3 linked regions of the Callithrix jacchus genome follow. The protein of the gene in region 3 purifies or fractionates together with the protein of the main gene of each other region. This does not show direct contact. Links are inferred from orthologs where the notes say so. Each region holds a gene or a part of one and is shown on either strand. Other genes may lie near its edges. The genes, in order: RUNX2, SKI and SMAD1.

The links.
Region 1: the proteins of SMAD1 (region 3) and RUNX2 purify together in Homo sapiens (affinity purification with western blotting; 3 studies listed by BioGRID). This does not show direct contact. The link is inferred for Callithrix jacchus from reciprocal best matches to the Homo sapiens genes SMAD1 and RUNX2.
Region 2: the proteins of SMAD1 (region 3) and SKI purify together in Homo sapiens (affinity purification with western blotting, with the first as the bait; 3 studies listed by BioGRID). This does not show direct contact. The link is inferred for Callithrix jacchus from reciprocal best matches to the Homo sapiens genes SMAD1 and SKI.

Annotation. Positions count from the first base shown.
Region 1 is NC_133505.1:53,756,539-53,760,859, forward strand, and holds the start of RUNX2 (runt-related transcription factor 2), read left to right. Parts: upstream 1-1,479; 5' UTR 1,480-1,481; coding exon of another isoform or gene 1,482-1,570; coding exon 1,571-1,943; intron 1,944-4,321. UniProt on the Homo sapiens protein: Transcription factor involved in osteoblastic differentiation and skeletal morphogenesis. Essential for the maturation of osteoblasts and both intramembranous and endochondral ossification.
Region 2 is NC_133508.1:40,346,334-40,349,967, forward strand, and holds part of SKI (ski oncogene), read left to right. Parts: intron 1-2,105; coding exon 2,106-2,231; intron 2,232-2,411; coding exon 2,412-2,527; intron 2,528-3,239; coding exon 3,240-3,505; intron 3,506-3,634. UniProt on the Homo sapiens protein: May play a role in terminal differentiation of skeletal muscle cells but not in the determination of cells to the myogenic lineage. Functions as a repressor of TGF-beta signaling.
Region 3 is NC_133504.1:51,521,743-51,526,044, reverse strand, and holds the start of SMAD1 (mothers against decapentaplegic homolog 1), read left to right. Parts: upstream 1-1,370; 5' UTR 1,371-1,455; intron 1,456-1,555; exon of another isoform or gene 1,556-2,894; intron 2,895-4,302. UniProt on the Homo sapiens protein: Transcriptional modulator that plays a role in various cellular processes, including embryonic development, cell differentiation, and tissue homeostasis.

The sequences.
Region 1 (4,321 bases), on a different chromosome or scaffold from region 3:
AATTCACTGTCTCCGCCTACCCCATTTACTTTATGCCACTCCTAGTTACTATCACACTAGGAAGAAGTCTAACATGCAGATTTAGAGTGGCATGGATAAATGGCAAAAAATGCCTAGAAAATTGGTCTGTTCGCCTTTATAATTTTTGTTGAAAAATACTCCATCGCTCCTAACTGATGAAAACAGGAAGCTCTATTCATAAATATAAAATCCACTGCCTATAATATATAATCATCCTAATAAGAAAATGAGTTCTATACATACTTCTCCAAAGGGGCAAAAAAGGAGATAGTTTCCCAAAGATGTTTCCAATTTTCTTCTGAATCAGAATTAGCAAATCGAGACGACTAACATACTCTGTCTGTGGGCATTATTCCTTACTACACACAGGATTTTGTAATTTATTTCAAAGGTTTAGAAACAAAAAAATATAGCTTCTGTTAACCCACTCTATTCTAAGCTCACAGAATCTAAAGTGAATATCTACATTATAACATAAGCATTTTACTTTATAGAAGATCTGCTATCAGACACTTTGTTAACATCCAAACTACTTAAAGAATGATATAAAATGAATACGCTTCCATGAAAGATAAAAATTATTACAATCATAAAGAAAACTAAGATTCATCCAATAAACTATATTACAATTCCTGTCATTCACTTTTTTAAGATCTTCCAACTAGGCATGAGATAACGGTATACATGAAAGATTACATTTAATCGTTATTGTAAAGGCCGCCATCTAAAATATTGATAATAAACTAGACAGCTGTAATTTAAAATTTGTAAAAAAAAAAATGCCTAGACTAACACTTTCATGACAGCCAATTACAGTCAAGCCTAGCAAGCAGTTTGCAACCAGACCTTAAGGTAAACTTTTTTTTTTACAATGAGTTACAGATTCACAAGTTTAAGAAGACAAGAAAAAGGAAAACAGAAGGAATCCAGCCACCCAGCAAATATGAAGCAGACCCCAGAATGTGATACAGTCCAAAGATGTAAATTATTGTAAATCATCACTGTTGTTCAGAATTTCACACAGACTCTTGAGCCAATTTTGTTCATTTATCCACAGACACAATAATGAACTAAAAAGAGGAGGCAAAAAGGCAGGGGTTGGGGGGGAAGAGTAGAAAGGAAAGTCCTTAACTGCAGAACTCTGCTCTACAAATGCTTAACCTTACAGGAGTTTGGGCTCCTTCAGCATTTGTATTCTATCCAAATCCTCATGAGTCACAAAAATTAAAAAGCTATATCCTTCTGGATGCCAGGAAAGGCCTTACCACAAGCCTTTTGTGAGAGAGAGAGAGAGAGAAAGAGAGAGAAAGAAAGAGCAAGGGGGAAAAGCCACAGTGGTAGGCAGTCCCACTTTACTTTGAGTACTGTGAGGTCACAAACCACATGATTCTGCCTCTCCAGTAATAGTGCTTGCAAAAAAAAAAGGAGTTTTAAAGCTTTTGCTTTTTTGGATTGTGTGAATGCTTCACTCGCCTCACAAACAACCACAGAACCACAAGTGCGGTGCAAACTTTCTCCAGGAGGACAGCAAGAAGTCTCTGGTTTTTAAATGGTTAATCTCCGCAGGTCACTACCAGCCACCGAGACCAACAGAGTCAGTGAGTGCTCTCTAACCACAGTCTATGCAGTAATAGTAGGTCCTTCAAATATTTGCTCATTCTCTTTTTGTTTTGTTTCTTTGCTTTTCACATGTTACCAGCTACATAATTTCTTGACAGAAAAAAATAAATATAAAGTCTATGTACTCCAGGCATACTGTAAAACTAAAACAAAGTTTGGGTATGGTTTGTATTTTCAGTTTAAGTCTGCAAGCAGTATTTACAACAGAGGGTACAAGTTCTATCTGAAAAAAAAAGGAGGGACTATGGCATCAAACAGCCTCTTCAGCACAGTGACACCATGTCAGCAAAACTTCTTTTGGGGTAAGTGTTATCATATTTTTAAATCCTGTAAGATATGAACCTGTTAAACATAAAGGTATGATTCTTAAACTGCTAGCTTTTCCAAGTAATATATTAAAGATCTTAATAATGCTATCTTGTTGCATTAAGAATTGAAAACGAAATTTCCGTATCTATTTGCATTTGGTATCTGTAATGTTATCTAATTTTCAAAGTAATGACTTGAAATAGACAAAATTAAATTATCTCACATTGATCAAAATGTTTTCTAGAGTTACAGAAGTGAGGATATGAAAAGAGTAAAAGAAACAGCTTAATACTCTCATTAACCCTCACCAGAAGAAAAATCAGATTCTAAATTAATCAAAGCATTATAAATGATTGACTCCGGCAGCTCCCAATATTTGAGCAAACTTCAAAAAGGAAACAATTTTACAAAATAACAGACCACAGAATTATCTCAACATTATGGTCTACCATGTAAAACACAGAAATAAACCTGTAATACTATTAACATTTTAACCAGCTCAACTAAAAGAAATCTACTTATAAATTTAAACTATATCCTATCTAAATGTTTGTTTCTAAACAACCATATATAAGTATACATTCAGCTGAAACAAAATTATGATAAGCACATCATAGCCAATTTTAAAAGATCTTTATAGTTTCCCAGGATATTAAAGTTCATGGAAGTATTTTAAAACTTATATGCAACTGCATTTTTCTACATAATTTTAATTTTACATCCACACACTGTTATCCATAGTAGACCTTGTTATAAACACACAGCAAACACTGAAACGTCTAAGATTCTTTTAATCACATTCTTGGACCTACCAAAATGAATACTGCTGTTTAGTCTCATAAAAAATAAAGCTCCATAAGGATATCCCATATGATTTTTAAAAGCCACAACCATTAAACCATACTGGCCTTTAAAAGAAGCAGGCATAATATAGTCCCTAGTATTTAATTTCAACTTAGTGTTGATATAGATATGCAAATGACTTTAACATTCATCAGCTAATGTATTATAGTAAAATATTTAAACACACTTACAAGATTCTCTTTATGACGTCCAACATGTTCCAATACAAGGCAAGTTTTTAAAATTTTTTCTCATATCCTTTAAATTTTTTTGCTGTGTACATCTATATTAACTTTGCTTTTAACTTACAACTAATGACTGGAGTTTCCTTTACTCCTCCTACTTCACGCACTTTAACTGGCTACTACTAGAGGATCAGTCTTAGTTTAGGTCAAAGATAAAAAACTTCAAAGGAGAAAAAATGCTTTCTCTTATAGGGTAATGAAAATGTACAGTATTTTACAAAAAAAATGTAAAATTGCTGTAGTGACTCCCTCAATAACTGTAAGTGGGCCCCCTAAGTTATAATATATACAATATAATAATCCAGATTAATTTAAAAATTTAATGATGCGTACTAAGTATCATTCTAAAAATTCCTATATTAAGGAAGCAGGACATAAATACAGCTAGACTACATTATAACACATAGCATAATTATACCTAATACATTGAAACTTTTGTTACTACTACCAAAGAGATAAAAGGATAAAGAATGGTAAAGACTACTGTTACACAGAGGGATCATTTGAAACAGGGATAACAGAGGTATCAGGGAGGGATAACAGAGACAGTTAAGTTACTCTTAAACAATATCACTGTGTTTAACTACATTTTAAATACATTTTAAAAACTGGATCAGGAACAAAAGTTTCAAAAAATTCTTCAGTATTAGAAGTATAGCTACACAAAGAATCTGTTAAAACTGTCACAAAGAATATATTAAAATGCTTCTTATTCTATCATAACAGGGATCTTATATTTCTGTAACATTCTTAATAACTATTCTACATTAAAATTTCCAAAACTTGACCGAATTCTAAGTAAGGCACAGTAGTGAACTTCTTTTTAACATTACAACCAATTCTTCCTCTTCTGAAAAGTGGGTTTCACCTTCCCTTTTCCCAGCTCCCAAACAGTATCTTAAGCCCTCAATTGAGAACTTAACATGAACCCACTACCTCAGACTAATTACAGGTGAGTAGTAAACATCATGTATAGGTTATCATCACATTGCAAACATTTCCCCATTCTATAATCTATGTGAAGTCTAAAACCTCACTTCAGGCTTTAGATTATTATATAATGATTATCACAACGAACTAATGAGATGTCATACGTATGTGCTCTAATTTTGTAAAATAGTTAAAGTTTAGGCTTTTCCTAGGTGAGAAACAAATCACATATTAACAACTGGCTCACCTCAAATACAATGAGTGAGTGTGTGTGTGTATGTGTGTGTGCGTGTGTGTGTGTGTGTAGGAGAATATGTCTCAGTGTCCTTGATCCCTCAGCATACTTCACCTTG
Region 2 (3,634 bases), on a different chromosome or scaffold from region 3:
CCAGCCCGTCTGCCTCAGCTCTCTAGATCTGCAGGGCCCTCGGCCACCCCCACTGAGCGGATGGGGCCCGGGAACCTATGGGCCTACGGTCCTCCCACCACCTCTGCAGGGTGGCTGTTGGGGGCCCGCCAGGCAGAGCTGTGTTCTTAGGCGCTGGTGTTCTTTCTTGGGAGTTGCCTGAGGCATTGACACTTTCCCACAGGGTGTCTGAGGTCTCCTGGAGTCAGCACCAGCTGCTGTGGCTTTTCCCCAGGTGAGAACTGAGCTGAATTTCTGCGCCCGCTTCAGTGGCTGCTCAGACAGGAAGCTCTCTTCGGCTGGGTGGCCTTGGCCTTCTGTGCCTCTCGGGAGGGTCCACATGATTCTGGAAGGGGCTCTCTGCTGCAGCTAGGATGGCACCCACCCCTGCTGGGCACAGGCGCAGCGCCCTGCGGTCAGGGCCTCCACCAGACGTCACCAACACTCACTTCCCCTCAAAAGCCACCACAGAGGGGGTATTTACAGCGTCTTTTTTCTTGAAGGTTATTTTTGTGTCTGAAAAAAACCATCTGCAGTCCTGGATGCCTTTGGGCTGCCACTGCCCCACACCCGCCCTGCCTCTAGGGCCCTGTGTGCCTGACATACCTTTCTCCCTTGGGCTCAGGTCAGAGCCGCTGCCTGCCCCTCCCCGGGCCCCACCCTGCTTGTTCCCTGAGGGCTGCAGGGTGGGTGTCGGTGCAGGGGAGGCCTGGGGCTCTCCGTCCGGGCCCAGCCTGTCCCCTGAGCCTCTTGAGTTTTGTGGTGAAAACCCTGTAATTGGGGCACCTTATGGATGGCCTGCCCCTGCACGCCCTTCTCCCCCAGGGAAGCAGGGTCCCTGCCATCTTCAGGAGGCTGGTTCCTGATACAGCGTCTTCTCCTCGAGTCCTGGAGGTGGGAAGAACCCCCATCCCTGCCTGAGTGTGCTCTGCCCACCAAGGCTTCCTGGCTGAGGACAGGTGCGGCACCCCCACCGCCTGACCTCGCTGCCTCCACTTGGGGTTGGCCCTGGCAGAGTGAGGGGACCTCACCCCTGTGAAGGGCCCCTGCCTTATGAGGCTTGTTCTGTGTTGGCTCATGGTATGGACTCTGACGCAGCTGCCCTGGGGGTTCTGTGCTGTCCTTTGGGGTCTTCAGTGGTAGAGGGACGGCTGGTCTTCCAGAGACCGCCCTGTTGTTTTGCTTGAGGAAGAGTCCTTTGGTTTCAATCGTGCCTTGCAGCCAGCGCATCTTGGGGCTCTCCAGCCACGGTGCTGGAGTTCACGTTTGCCTGAGGCTAGATGTGGCCGACTCAGGCCCTGGCACACAGCTGTGTAACTCACTGGTTCTTGGGGGATGTGCCCGGGCACCTGACACACAACATCTGGTTCTGGGTGGGCTGGGTCCAAGCACCTTACTAAGCTTCCTCCAGCAGTGTGGCTGGCAAGGAAGGAGGAAGAGGTATGCGCGGTGCCGTCCTGTAGAACTGGCTCCTTCGCTGTCCTTTGTTTTGAAAATGTTTGCTTCCTGGGGGGGCGGGGGGGCAGCCAGAATGCCCACTCTTTAATGCTGCGGTGCCAGTGGGCCCCCAGGGGCACGGTATCCCCTTTCCAAGAGCCACCCCTGTGCTGCAGCCGCCCTTTCCAGACAAATCCGTTGGGAGTGGCTCTTGCCGGACCATGGCTGGTTAAGTTGAGTGCCCTGCTGGGCACTCTCTGAGAACACATGTTCTAGGAAAGGACAAGGGGACTCGGGGTCAGGTTGTGTCGCTGTGGAAGAGGAGAGTGAGTCCTGGTGCTCCGTCCCCAACCCCACTGCAGCTGTGGGTGAGGTCACCCGGAATGCAGGACAAGGTCCACTCTGTTCTCTTGGAAACGACTTCTGCCTCAGCACAGCCTCCACACACCTTTTGCATGTGGCCCAAGGGCCTTTATGCAAAGTAGACCTAGCCTCCTGAGGGGTGCCCTGGAATCTGCCTTCTGCGCCCCTAAGGGTCCTTTGTGGCCGGAGTACCTGGAGCTCTGACAGTCATGTGCTGGCCACGGGGCTGGTGGAGGGACCCTACGCAGGGGACCAGAGGTGCCAACAAGACCTTTCATTGATCGCAGGTCTCTTCTGAGCCCCCAGCCTCCATAAGACCCAAAACAGATGACGCCTCTTCCCAGTCCCCTGCGCCTTCCGAAAAGGACAAGCCGTCCAGCTGGCTGCGGACCTTGGCCAGCTCTTCCAATAAGGTGCTGCTGGGCCTGTCGGGGTCCTCGGGGTGGTGGATGCGGGGCCTTTCCTCTTGGGCAGTCTCTGCACTGGTGGCTCTGCCTGTCCCCTACCAAGGGCTGGCACCCGGTGCAGCCTCGGGGACACAAAGTGGCTTGTTTTTCTTCCGGTCACTTACACAGACGACTCTTTCTCGACAGAGCCTGGGCTGTGTTCATCCTCGCCAGCGCCTCTCTGCTTTCCGACCCTGGTCCCCTGCGGTGTCAGCGAGTGAGAAAGAGCTCTCCCCACACCTCCCGGCCCTCATCCGAGACAGGTGAGTGGGCGCTGCTTGCAGGTGCTCCTGACCACAGCAGAGGCCCCACAAGGGCTGCGCACTCAGACCCGCTGTGTTTCTGCAGGCCGGGTGCCCAGACCTGCTGCCTTTTGGTCAAGGCAGTCTCAGTGCTGGTCACTTTGGCTGACATTAGCATGGGCACACCCAGAGCAGAGCATTCCCTGGTGCTCTGGGTGCAGCCTCTGGATGCGATGGTCAGTCTAAGTCCCACCTGCAAGGGATACCCAGCTAGCAGAAGACGCTTATGGATCCTTAGGAACCGAAAGCTTCCCTGTAAGGTTCGGAGCTGGGAAAGGAACTCTTTCCGCCGTTTTTTTTTGAGACAGAGTCCAGCTCTGTCACCCAGGCTGAAGTGCAATGGCGCAATCTTGGCTCCGCAACCTCCTTCTGGGTTCAAGTGATTCTCCTGCCTCAGCCTCTCATGTAATTGGAAGTACAGGTGTCCACCACCACACCTGGCTAAGTTTTGTATTTTTAGTAGAGACAGGGTTTCTCCATGTTGGCCAGGCTGAGCTCGAACTCCTGACTTCAGGTGATCTGCCCACCTCGGCCTCCCAGTGTTGGGATTACAGGCGTGAGCCACTGCGCTTGGCCAGTCTTTTTAACACCTTCAGAGGGGGTGTCCACCAGGATGGGTCTGGGTGGCGCTTGGGGACAGAGGCACCTTCCCAACACCTGCCTGCCCCTCCAGCTTCTACTCCTACAAGGGCTTTGAGACGGCTGTGGCCCCCAATGTGGCTCTCGCACCACCGGCCCAGAAGGCTGTGAACAGCCCGCCGTGTGCTGCCGCCCTCTCCCGGGCCCCCGAGCCTCTCGCTGCTTGTACCCAGCCTCGGAAGCGGAAGCTGACTGTGGACACCCCAGGAGTCCCAGAGACACTGGCGCCTGTGGCTGCCCCGGAGGAGGACAAGGACTCGGAGGCTGAGGTCGAAGTTGAAAGCAGAGAGGAATGTACGTGTGAGTCGCTTTCTGTGCCTACTCCGGGGCTGGCTGAGAGGGTTGGTTGCCCATGTCCAAGGCCCTCGGGCAGATTCTGTGCGTATTGGGGCCCACGTTTCACAGGTTCCTGCGGGAGCGGTGCGTCTC
Region 3 (4,302 bases):
TGCATTTCATTGTCATGCTTTTTTTTTTTTTAATAGCTTGAGGAAAATTCACATATCAAATGATTGACCCATTTAAAGTGTACAATTCAATGGCTTTTGGTATATCCACAGAACTGTGCAACCATCACCAGAAACTAATTTTAGAACAATTTTGTCACCCCATGACCTTTAGCTGTCACTCCCCAGGTTCCTCAATTCCTCAACCCTATGCAAACCAACAATCTACTTTCTGTCTCCATAGCCTTGCCTACTCTGAGCATTTCAGATATGTGGAAGAATACAATGTGTGGTCTTACTGTGTTATCTTCTTTCACTCCACATGTTTTGAAAGGTTATCCAGGTCACATGCATCAGTATCAGCACTTCATTCCTTTTTATGGCTGAATAATGTTCTCTTGTATGGGATATTTTGTACTGTTTATCAAGGGAGAGTTTTCAACAGGGGAGTGGCCTAATCTGAGTGGCATTTAAGAAGGTTCACTTTCCTGTTGTTCCAAGCAGCAGAGAATGACCAACTGCATCAAATGCTGCTTTTAGGGAAAATAGGATGAATTCCACGAATTGACCAGTAAGGGCGCAAATAGTTTAAGGAAAAAAGGAATTTACTATACATTGATATATGTTAATGATACACTGGATACACATGGCTGGGAGTGATGTTTTTTGCTTCATGTGAAATTTATTCCTCAAAAAATTATTCTTTTCTAAACGTCACTCAACGTTATGGTAATTATCCAAGATTTTATGCAGCTTCCAGAGAGTTGGCCAAGAGAAAAGTTGACTCTTGCAAGAAGATACTTTCAATGTCCATGCAGATCAGGTAGGTAAGAGTTAAGTTTGTTTTCGGGGTGTTGGCATCATCTAAAAGACTGTAGAAATTGGACCAAAATGTAGAGTTCTAAAGCAGTATCTCCTTGTGGCATGTTATTATTTGGAGCAACAAGGTTACCTACTCGAATCATTGTATCCTGAGTTGACACAAAACCCATCTGTTGACCCAGGGTTTGTATAAGCACGTGCAGTAGTTACTAGCTAACCACTTCTGGGTACGTTCAGCTTCTGGTGCCTGCAAATTATTGGAGAGTGAGTAAGGGACAACGAAAACTAGACATCAAAGGGCCAGTCTCGAAAGATAACTGTCAACATGCATTCCATATTTACAGAAGAGTTAATGAGCGTTTCAGAAAATAAACACATGGAGCATCGAAATTCACTTGCAGATAATGCACCAAGTCCACTCTACCGGGACTAAAGAAGGCAGGGTTAGGAAAGCCAGAACGCCGCCACGCTGTTTTTTCTCCAGGAATAAACGGAGCGTGGGGCTGGGGGTGGAAGGGGGTGACTCGGGCCGCTCCCCCTCGCCGTCCTCCAGCCCAGGCCGCGCTGCGCTCACGCCGGCCGGGCCGGGAATTTGGAGAGGATCCCTGGTCGCTCGGCAGCGGCGGCGGCGCGCGGGTGAGCGTGTGAGCGGGCGGGCGGGCAGGCGAGTGCGCCGGGCATTGGCAGCCGAGGAGTGGAGGCTGGGCGGCTCCGACTCCCTGACGCCAGCGCGACCAGATCAATCCAGGCTCCGGGAGAGAGCGGGCTGAAGGGCGGGCGGAGGAAGGAGAGGCCGAGCGGCTCAACCCGGGCCGAGGCGCGGGAGGGACCCTGGGAGCGGAGCGCGGCGCAGCACCAGGCCGGCCTGACCGGGGCCGCGGGACCCCGCTCTCCCGGCCACTCGTGCGCCCGCGCGGATGGGCGCGCCGCCAACCCGGTAAAACGAAACAGACCCGAACCCAACTTTCCCTTCATGCTGCGTCCACGCCTTCCCCTCGGCGCCCCGGGCTTTCCAGAGCTGACGCCTCTGTACGCGTGGGGCCGCCGCGGTCCTGCGGGGCCGGGGGCGCGGACGGCGGCGGGGAGGGGGCTCTTTCCGCGCGGGGCGGACCGCGACGCCCCCACCCCCCATGATGGCGCCTCCCGGCTGCTCTGAGGAGCGAACCTGCCACCGCGTCCTCTCCTCCTCGCGCCCAGCCCGCCAGGCTCCCCCGGCGTCTTTGTTGGGTCTTCTGCTGTGGGAAGCTGAGTTCCCGGCCCCCTCTAGCCTCGGCCCTCAGGCCTGACCGCGCCGGGACCTCCCCAGCCGCGCTCCCTCTCCGCGCGCTCCTCACATCTCTCCGGTGCTGCAGCCGGGCCGAGGCCAGTCCGCGCGGCCCCGGGCCCATTGTGTCCCCGCGCCGGCGGGGCGACCCCTGCGGGAGCTGGAGAACGGCCGCCGGCGCTGCCTTCCCAGGCGCCTGGAGGAACGGGTCTCGTGGGCGGGGGACCCTGGCGCCCCAGACCCCTCCACATCCCGCACGGGTTTCCTTCTCGGCCCTAGCGAGCCTCTTTGGGGTCGAGGTCAAGGAAAGTTCGCACCGAAATCCCCTCTAATTTATTCAAAGGTTTGGCCGCGGCGCGTAATTTTTTCCTCCTCTTCCGCCTACACCCGCTTCGTCTCCTGGTGTCTCATTCCTTTCCCTTGACCGCAGTCGATTGCCTCACTGCATGTGTATTCGTGAGTTCGCGTTGAACAACTGTTCCTTTACTCTGCTCCCCGTCTTTGTTAGTGTTTCTCGGGGTTGTTTCTGTAGGAAGGTGGGGGTGGTGGGCGTGAGAGACAGACGTGGGCTTGTTTTTCTAGTTGCTGAATCTGTAAGAAGGCTTTAAAGGGAGAACGTTTCCTTGATGATGTGCGTTAGGAGGGGAGGAGGAACAAATGCCTGCCAGATCTCACAACTACAGTAGCTGCGCTTTTGTTTATTTTGAAGCGCATGCAATTTTTAAATAGACGGTGCAAGACAACCAGTAAAGACGCGTTTCTGAAAATTGAGACCGATCTCAGAACCATCTCCTGGGAAAGCATCATTTTCGTGAGTGCCGAGACAACTGTCCTTTTTCTACGTCCCCCCCCCCCCCGCCCGCTCCCCAGTCTTTCTCTCCTTTCCACTGCATCTGAAGTTTCAAAGTACGTGGAATGATACAGAAGTTGCATTTCTGTTGTGTCTTCCTGTTGCTGGAACTCTCAGCTGCTAAATCTCAGAATGCCTTTATTTCAATAAGAACATCTTTGGCTCTAATTGCCTGTTGCGGGTAACTTGCCCACATTTCAGTAACACAGTGAGAAAACTGTTCCCTGCCCATGTTGATTTTTCATCTTGTTTGTAATTAAATTGTATTGAAGGTAGGTGAGCTGTATTAAAAAAGAATCGGGACAGAACCAGTGTTTACTGCCCCAGCATTTTCAATTGGTATAAATATTGTTGCATCAGTGTTATTCTGATGTAGGTGCCAGATCTAAATATGCTGTACTGATTAAAATGTTTGTTCTGCCCTCTCCCACTCTCCCATTTTCAGTTATTTGATATTTCTGTGCAGGTGGTGTATCATTGGTGGTGTAATACTGCAATTCTTAGTAAAGTTTAACTAGGGTTGTGAAAGATGATTTTTCTGGAGGTGGGTGATGCCAGAGGCTCTAGAGGATCCAGGAAGGATCGGGTTTCTTCTGAGGGTAGGGATTTGTCCTTGATTTAGTTTTGACCCCTGCAACCATAGGTATGTAACCAAATACATTTTTCCTCTTGCTGTATCCTTTGGTTTCATATCCTTGAAGAGCTGATGATCTTTGTGTTTTAGAGAAATGACAGTTTTTAGGCAATTAAAAAAACATTGACCTCTAAGACTTCTTGGAATTTAATTTTATTTCTACTAAGTTTAGTAAGGCAGTAAGATGAAGTAAGTCACATTTTCTCAACTGCATTTGTTACATTTATTAGTTAAAAACTAAATTTCACTTTGTAATTTCGATTTCTAGCAATTCTGGGTTAAAGATAAAATCTAATAACTTAGTAGATTGAAAATAAGAAGTAACTTGGGTGTAATTAGACAAACATGTTTAAGCTGCAGTAGCCTCCATAATCAAGGCCAAGTGTGTGTGTATAACAGATCTCATTTGTGTAGTCTTACAAAGCTAATGGAAGCATCACTGAGGCTTTATAAATAATGTAAGTTGTGTATAATGTAGAGTCTCCAGAGACTGCAGAGAAAGCATCATTACCAGGCTTTTCAACCTGCTTGAGATCTTAAATTGATTTACAGCACTGAACTAGTGCAAAATGATACATCAGGATGACATGGGGTCAGCCTGTAAAAGTCTATGATGTCAGCCTATTAGTTCAGTCATCATAATTAAACCATATTACAGGGGTAGCTAAGCAGGAGTCTGGCGTTATACTTCAGATATGGGTGGTACATGGGTTTTGTTTATAGTGGAAAGACTGA